Linked DNA regions of Cricetulus griseus. The protein of the gene in region 2 purifies or fractionates together with the protein of the main gene of each other region. This does not show direct contact. Links are inferred from orthologs where the notes say so. Each region holds a gene or a part of one and is shown on either strand. Other genes may lie near its edges.

Region 1 (3,817 bases), on a different chromosome or scaffold from region 2:
AGCACAAGTCTGGAAGATAGCTCAGTCAAAGTGCTTGCCTCAGAAGCATGAAGACATGAGTTCAATGCCCTGCATGCATATACAGATGCAGGCTAATGGTGTGATTATAACCCCAGTGCCGGGGAGGCAGAGACAGGGCATTCTTGTGGTTCACTGGCTGGTCAGTTTAGACAAACTGGTGAAATCCAGGCCAATGAGAAGCCTCGTCTCAAAAGGAAGTAGGTAGCCTTTCTTGAGTTGACACCTATACTTGTCCTCTGGCTTCTCTCCATGCACACACATGTACCCTCCAAGATAAATATGCTCATATGCACACATACAAATGCATTAAAAGCATAGAAACCATTACAATTACAGTACTGAAATCTTTTAAAAATTTATTTTTTTAAAAAATATATATAAACTTTGCTGGGTGTTGGTGGTGCATGCCTTTAATCCCAGCACTTGGGAGGTAGAGTCAGGAGGATCTCTGTGAGTTCCAGACCAGCCTGGTCTACAAGAGCTAGTTCCAGGACAGCCTCCAAAGCCACAGAGAAACCCTGTCTCGAAAAAACAAAACAAAACAAAATAACAAAACAAAACAAACAAACAAACATATATACATATACATATATATTTAGTGGTACTGAGGATCAAACAAACCCAGGGCCTCCTATATGATAAGTACACATCTACCATTGAGTCCTCAAAAATATTTTAAACACTTTTAAACATATGACTTTAAAAATCAGTGAATTCATCTTTTGAAACATTTCCTTGCACATGTTGAAGAAATCAATATCTCTTTGTTTTTAGACAAAGAGATAAAATTATAGATCACGACCAGGAAAGCTAGGCACTAAGAAAAATCAGCAAACAAACTCATGCTCTCATCTCACCTGAGAAACCTTTCCAAGCAGAATGCTTCTCTCCAACAGATGCACAGTGTTCTGAAACTGATAGCGTGGGCACCGGCAGGCTGGCTCTTTCTTCCCTGACTTCAGTATGTTCTTGTGTCAGTATTTCTCCACCTGATCCCTCTGATCTGCTGGAACTGTCACACTTTAAATCAGTGGTTCTGTTCTCTGGACTTAATCTTTCCTGTAACGAGGAATGGAGTTCAGCAGACTTCCTGCCTTCAGATAAATTACTCTTGCTGTGACGTGTGCTGCTCCCTATCTCCCAGCAATGAGTTTGTTCTTCCTCAGACAAAGCATGGCTTGTGACGGGTGTTTTCTCAACAATCTGAAGAGATGTCTTTCCATCTATTTTGTCAGACTTATTTAAGCACTGTGTGTCACTATTAGTTTGTACTACACAGCTGTCTGTCACACGGCTGCTCTGGGCTGTCTGCTGGTGTGAATGTGGGTCAGGAATTGAACAGTTCTTTGTGGGTTGCTTAGATCTCTGCTCTGTGCTGAAATCATCAATGCTTGAGATGGCTGACATCTGGCGGCCCATAAAGATTGTTGCTGGTTGATACAATCCTCTTGACATGGCTGTCCGTGAGTTAATTCCTACCTGCAAAAAGAGGTGTGAGTTAAACACATTGCTTATGAACAATTAAGTAGAAAGAAAAGTTGGTAAAGGAAGCATAACCATGGAAATCAACACCTACCACCAATAAAACATGTCTTCCCACTTAATGAATTGGCAAACTCTACTACAGTCCAGATTATTATTGTGGTAACAGTGTCACTGTACAAAACAACTACTGCTAAAGAACTATGGAATTCTTTTCTGAAAAATGAAATGCATGCAATTAATCCAGCTGACGTGCACGACTAAAATAAAATGAAATCAGTACATTTTAGATTATGCATCTTTTACCCCAGTGACATTCCCTGAAAAGTGGTGAGTTCTAAAAGCACTCTATACAGAGCTCAGTTAGCACCACTATAAAGGGACTTGACAAAAGAATAAAAAGAAAACAAAAAAGCAAGCCAGGGAAATACAGAGGTCAAACAATGAAAGGGTTCAGCTCTATTCTAGTGCTATGTATAAAATAAAAACTTCAAGCAGTCACATTCATAATGGTATTAAAGCACAGAATACTCCTAAATTGTAATCAAATTAACATAAAGATTTCCTGGACATCGTTAAGGAACTTTTAAGTAATTTTAATTAACTAGCATGGTTATAGGAAACCTAAGCCTCATCTTTGAAGGGTAGGGAAAAAGGAGAGAAGATAGGCAAAGCTGAGCAAAGAACCAGCTTAAACAGGGGTGCATGGTACCAAGCAGAACTACAAGTAGCAAGCATGAAGCCTTCCAGAAGCTAAGTGCTTTTCTCCCCAAAGGACCAGAGCACTCCCACAGTCAGGAGAGCGCTCACTTCCTTACACTGCAGATGGGGAAATGCAAATGCATCCACACCCTTCCTCTATACATAGAATTACCAGCATCCAATTTCCAAGACCAGAAATGTCAGAGACAACAGAATCCAGGCCATATATCTATCTCTTCAAACATTGTCTCTTCTAACCCTGGAATAATGAAACAAAAACCACAACCCATGTCCAATTCTGAAGTCAACAAATCAAGGATGTCAGAGAAAGGCGATGGGCTAAAGAGCACTAAACAGTCTCTGCTGGCAACAGAGTTTACAATCCCGAAAATCTCTTCAGACCCTGGGACTTAATCAGCTTTCTAGGAATCTGGGGTGCATTGACTTAAGAGAACCAGGTAGATCTTGAAAAGGACAAGTTTCTGGGCTGCCAGGTGCTGGCCAAGTTGACAACAACCCATAGTCACTGCAAAAACCAGCCAATCAGTCCCTTGAAAAGGACTAGGGAGGCGGGCAGGATTCTTTCAAGGGCCCTATTTCCAGACAACAGTCATCAGTGGACTATCTGGTAGCTCCTTGGAGGACTGCACACAAAAGACTGTTTTGACTTGAACTAGCTTGAAGCTAATAAATAGCCTTGTTCCCAAGCCAAGTTTGCTGAAAATTATCAGAAGCAGTTGTTTAATGAGGAAGCTGCCTAAGGCAGTAGACAGAACTTAGAATAAATAAAAGGCTACACACATTTTAAAGGGAAAGTTGGTCAAAGAGCTGCCTGTGGGGGTCAGGGACTCTGGAAGGTTCTAGTATACTCCTGGAAATCTAGATGACCACCTACATGCTCTGGGCTGTGGGAACACTCAACTGACACTTCAGGAAGTAAATGCCTGAGCTCTCACCTCAAGCTTGCTTTGAGGCTCAAAGCAAGAAATAAAGGACAAGGTATAGCCCAACATACTTAGAACCTCTTAGCAAAGGCAATGAGAATCCTAGTCCCAGACATTAAAGAAAGCTGACGGTTATTAAGTAAATTTAATAGGAATCTCAGTGACCTCACATGAAAAATAATACACATTCACATAACTAAGCCACAAAATGGATAAACAAACAGAAATTAACAACAAATTCTTGGAGGGCAGAGATTCCAGAACTGCCACATTTAATTATTTAAAAATGAAATGAAATAATAAACATTGTCTCAAATAGACAGTGAGCATATACAATCAGTAAAAACTATCTCTGAGGAAGTCCAGGTATTAAAATGACTAGATAGAGGCATTAAATTAGCTATAATTAGCTAAATAAGTTTTTTTTAAAAAATCATGTCCAAAGAACTAGAGTATTCCAACACTCAGAGGCTGACTTTTCAGGCACCCAAATGAATTACTCTGAAGCCAGTAGGTATGTTTATTGAGATGGATCTGAAAAGTGGGAGGTGCAGGGGAGGCTGGGAGGGGAAGAGAGAGGGAGAAGAAGGAAGATTTTAAATATGAAAATAATGTCCAAACAGAGAGCATTATAAGGATAAATAAATTAAAGGACTGACACCAGGCAC
Region 2 (4,478 bases):
CAATTCTTGGTAATTTAACCAACTAAAATTTGTGTAACTGAGCACAAGAACCATGACCAAAAAAAAAAAAAAAAAAAAAGAACACAAACAAAAAAACCCCCAAAAGCAACAGTACTACTCCTAGTGACCCCACTAGCCAGAACCATCTCAGATATCTATCAAAATAATAGATATATGATTCATTAAATCTGTCAAGTGTATCTGTAATTAAAATTCTATCTATATGTGATGATACAGACAAATTAAAAAACATGAATGAAGCACAAAAGAATATGTGGTTCATGATCTTTTTAAAAACTAAATTAAGGAATAAAATTAAAGACAGTGGTTATCTTTCACTATCTTTGAGGAAGAGGGAGGGACAAGACTTTTTGGGTTCTAGCTATTCCCATTTCTCAACCTGAATTGTATTACAAGAATTTTTCACTTTGCAATGTTGCACTTGGCTTGTTTTCTTTTGTGTATATTTTATAAACAAATGCACCATAAATATGCAAATGCACTAACCAGTTGCTTTTGTAATTTCTGGAGACATTGGTGGTATCATGCAGTACTCATGTTTATTAACATATCATTTTCTTTACTAAAAATCCAATCTGTCAAAGAAACCCTCCGGTAACCTGAAGATATAAAGATATAATCTTATGGATTTTTTTAAAAAAAAATTAAAGATTTATTGTATTTTGTTTGAGGCCAATCTGGGCTACACAGAAAAATCTATGGCCAGATCTTCTCAAAACAACAACAAAAAACAAATGGAGCCTGTGAGAAGTAAGACTGACAGAAGTCAATGAATATAGAGAACATGAGAGGCAGACAGACGGAGGATGGACGACATTCATCTGTATTTCAGCAGGCAGTGAGGTGGTATGGCTAGGGCAACCCACAGCTTTAACTGGAACATGAAGTTTTCATCTCTTCATACCAACCTTACAATTCCATCCTCCCTTTTCCTGAATACACAGATTTCAAGGCTTTGCTGTGTATTTGACAACTTCTTCTGCTCTACTTGTCTTTTACCATTCAGTTTTCAATGAAAATACATTGTCTTACTTAGGGTTTGCTGGTATTTGGAAATCAATTTTTAATCTAAGAATTATGGTTGCTTTATTTTTCCAAAATGCATCTTCTAAAATTCAGATAACCCTCCACCAAGCAAAACTGAGATTGTGGCTAGTTACTCGTCTTTATGCAGTGAGGTTTTCCTCACTTCAAACCTAAGCAATAACATTATTGTTGTAGTGCAGTGATTTTGTGTGTGTGTGTGTGTGTGTGTGTGTGTGTGTGTGTGTGTGTGTGTGTGTAGAGAAAGAGAGAGAGAGACAGAGACAGGGCGTACACAGGGCATTTAACAGGTACTAATTACCGTGCTAAGGGCTTCATTTGTATCATCCCAATTAAGTACCACAACAACATAGAGTTAGGGTGTTCTTCACTCAAAAGTGAAAAACAAATGAAAACAAAATCAGAGGCACAGGAAGCTAAGAATTTTACCCAAGATCAAACTTAGGAAGTGTGAGAGCTAGACAATATTCTTACAGAAACAAATTTAGAGATTATGTCCTTAACCTCTGGTCTATGATGCTTCCAATACAGGGCTCAGCATGTTTCCCCAACCTTCCCTGTTGTTCTCTCCTTGTTTTCATATCTCTACATCCTCCTTAGGTTATTTCTTACCTATGATGGCTGTAGCTAACTGAACTGTAATCCTTAATAAACCTCTATAATTCTGTTCAAGGCAACCTTGCTGTCTGTAAACAACGCATACTTCCAGTCCCTTCAATGTTGCAAATATGTGGGATACCTACACCATTCTTATCAGTAAACATATCGATACGTCAAGTTTCTGTCCAAATGGCATCTTCCTCTGGCCATGATTTAATCACTGTGTAATAGTCAATGTTTGTTTAGCACCATATGTCAGATGCTATTCTCCTTTATACCTCGATGTTTACTCAATAATTCCATCAACTCTACTTGGTAACTGAGGCGAACGATTCAGCAGTTGCCGCGTCAGTGTATTTATGGGATTTATGTATCTCCCTCCGCCAATTACACGCTGGGAGAACAAGAAAATCTCCATCCCTACACCATCTATGTTTGTACAGCACCTGACACGTAATAAAACAGTAGCTCAACAAATATCTATTAAACTAATGACCAGAGCAGTGCCTGCAGGTCCTCAACTGCAGATTTGGAAACTCTCCCTGGCCCATCAGCCCTCGAGTTTCTCTGAGCACAAGAGAAGCATAACAAACCTATTTCGTGTCTAGCTGCCTCCGATGCACGCTTAAGGAATCTACGAGTATTTACCAGCGGTTCTGCTTCGCTAAGTACATACATAATCTCATGTACATCACCAAGCATTCTGTGAAGCGGACTTAAGTTTTCCACATATTTCCACGCTGGGACCCAACCACAACCAAAACATATTAGTAGGTCAACGACAGCGACATTGCATCTTACAGATGAATTTTTCCATCAGGGCATAGGGCGCTTACGTGGGTCTCTCAGTAAGTCGGATTCTGTGGCCATTTCGATATTTTAGTTTGGAGTTTTCATCACCTTTACCGATTCCTCGCAGGGGGAGTAAGATATTTTTTTTTTAACAAATAAACAAAAACAGCCTCCCGCTGAGGAGGCAAACAAAAAGCTAAGGGCTCCCCAGGGCACGGGAACCCCGGCGCGGAGGCATCAGCATCCGACTCACGCGGCGGCGCAGCCCGGCCCGCAGCTCCGCCGAAGCCAGGCGACGCGCGTCAGACTCCGCTCGGCCGGACCCGGGCGGGGGAAGGGGCAGCGGGGCGGCGCGCGGCCGGCCGGAGGGAGGGCGACCCTGGGACGCGACGGCTCGGCCGCGGCGTCACCGCGGGGCTGAGGGGCGACGCCAGGACCGCGGGGAAGCCCGAGCCGCCGCGGAGTCCACTCGGCCCGCCCTGCGACTTTGAAAGCGGTGCCCCGGGCCGTTCCTTGGAGACGGTGACGCCGCGTCCGTCATCACGCGGGCGTCGGTACCTTCGTCATCGCGCTGCCTCAGGCTGCGGCAGGTGATTGGTTGTCTGTCAGGCGCTGGGCGGAGCCCTAAGCGCGCTGGGGGCCGAGTTGCCCTCTTGGCGCCTTCCGCAGTGCCGCGGCGGGTGTCTGAGGTAGTGTGGCGCAATTTAATTTTTTTATTTCTTCCCTTCTATCTTCTTGTAAGACAGCCGAAAACTGACTGACGGGAGCAGGCACTAGATACATATTTTCCTTGCTCTCCGAGTCTTGGTTTCGTAGACACCATGCGTTTGTGGGGCGTGTGCAGGGAGGGCTGTGGGTCCTGGGGTGAGGTGACTCGGAGACCCCCCTCAAGTGAGCTTGGAGCTGTCGCTTCTGGGTCTGGAAGAAGTGACCCTCCTGCTCCTAGGAAAGAGAGCTGTTGTTGAATATTTAAGCCGGTCACGTAGTCAGGTTTTAGGCTAGCCTGCAAACCCTGCAGGTACTTCAAATCTAAGGAAGGATAAAATTTTGCAATAAATAAATAAAACTTGTATTGATAGATAAATTACCATTCCCAGTTTTAAGAAGTGGTGGTGTGTGAATTTGAGCCGTAGAGCTTAAAACACACAAATACACATATACAAAAATACTGGAGAAAACGACATTAGCAAAAAATAAAAAAAAGTTCACTAGTAGTTTATCACTGGCTTTTTAGAGCCTTTTAAATTGATTATATATTTACACATTGAAATAAAGTTTCACTAAACATGTCCTGGTCCTGAGATGGCTCGCCTGATTTGGGATTCCCAGCACACATAAAAAGCCAGACAGGGCCCTGTGAGCCAGTACTGGGGAGGTGCAGACAAAAGGTTGAGGGGAAATGGGTGCTCTCTGGCCAGGAGCCTAAACAAACTGGAAAATTTCAGGGTCAGTGAGACACTGTCTCAAAAGTTCAGGTATGTTAATAAGATTTATTTTTCTGTGAGAAAATACCTGGTGATAAAAAAGTTAAGAAAATGTGAACAGCATTTGAGAATGACACCCCACCTCAACCTCAGCCCATACACAGGAGTGAACACTCTCCCACAGGGACACACACAAAAACAAAACAAAATGCAAGTATGTTCTAGATGAAGTTCTGTTGGACTTTCTGTTCAACAACTTAAGTTTTGTAACCCTGTACCCATAATCTAGCATAAACAGTGTTAGCTTTGTTCCTCTAAAAACTAGCTTTAAAATGTCTATATGTCTGTAATAGCTGTACAAAAGTTTAAATTAGCTTTGAATAAGTGGAGATTCAACCTGGTCTGGTTTTTAGTGCCCATAAGCTTAACATTAAGTTACACTGATTGTGCAAGCTCCACCTCTTCAGTGTAGAATACTTTCTAATGAAACTTCTACTGACTCCCCTCAAAGAGAGTTCCCTACATTTGAATGCTGTATTGTAATGTAAGTTGGAATTGGCTAAGTAGCTATAAATTTAATACTTATTATACTCAGCA

What was found.
Region 1: the proteins of Sclt1 (region 2) and Kiz purify together in Homo sapiens (co-immunoprecipitation; 3 studies listed by BioGRID and IntAct, counting the BioPlex papers as one, with this or other methods). This does not show direct contact. The link is inferred for Cricetulus griseus from reciprocal best matches to the Homo sapiens genes SCLT1 and KIZ.

Annotation. Positions count from the first base shown.
Region 1 is NC_048599.1:32,106,448-32,110,264, forward strand, and holds part of Kiz (centrosomal protein kizuna), read right to left. Parts: intron 1,501-3,817; coding exon 879-1,500; intron 1-878. UniProt on the Homo sapiens protein: Centrosomal protein required for establishing a robust mitotic centrosome architecture that can endure the forces that converge on the centrosomes during spindle formation. Required for stabilizing the expanded pericentriolar material around the centriole.
Region 2 is NW_023276806.1:108,279,846-108,284,323, reverse strand, and holds the start of Sclt1 (sodium channel and clathrin linker 1), read right to left. Parts: upstream 2,958-4,478; 5' UTR 2,536-2,957; coding exon 2,502-2,535; intron 2,498-2,501; exon of another isoform or gene 2,483-2,497; coding exon of another isoform or gene 2,467-2,482; intron 1-2,466. UniProt on the Homo sapiens protein: Adapter protein that links SCN10A to clathrin. Regulates SCN10A channel activity, possibly by promoting channel internalization.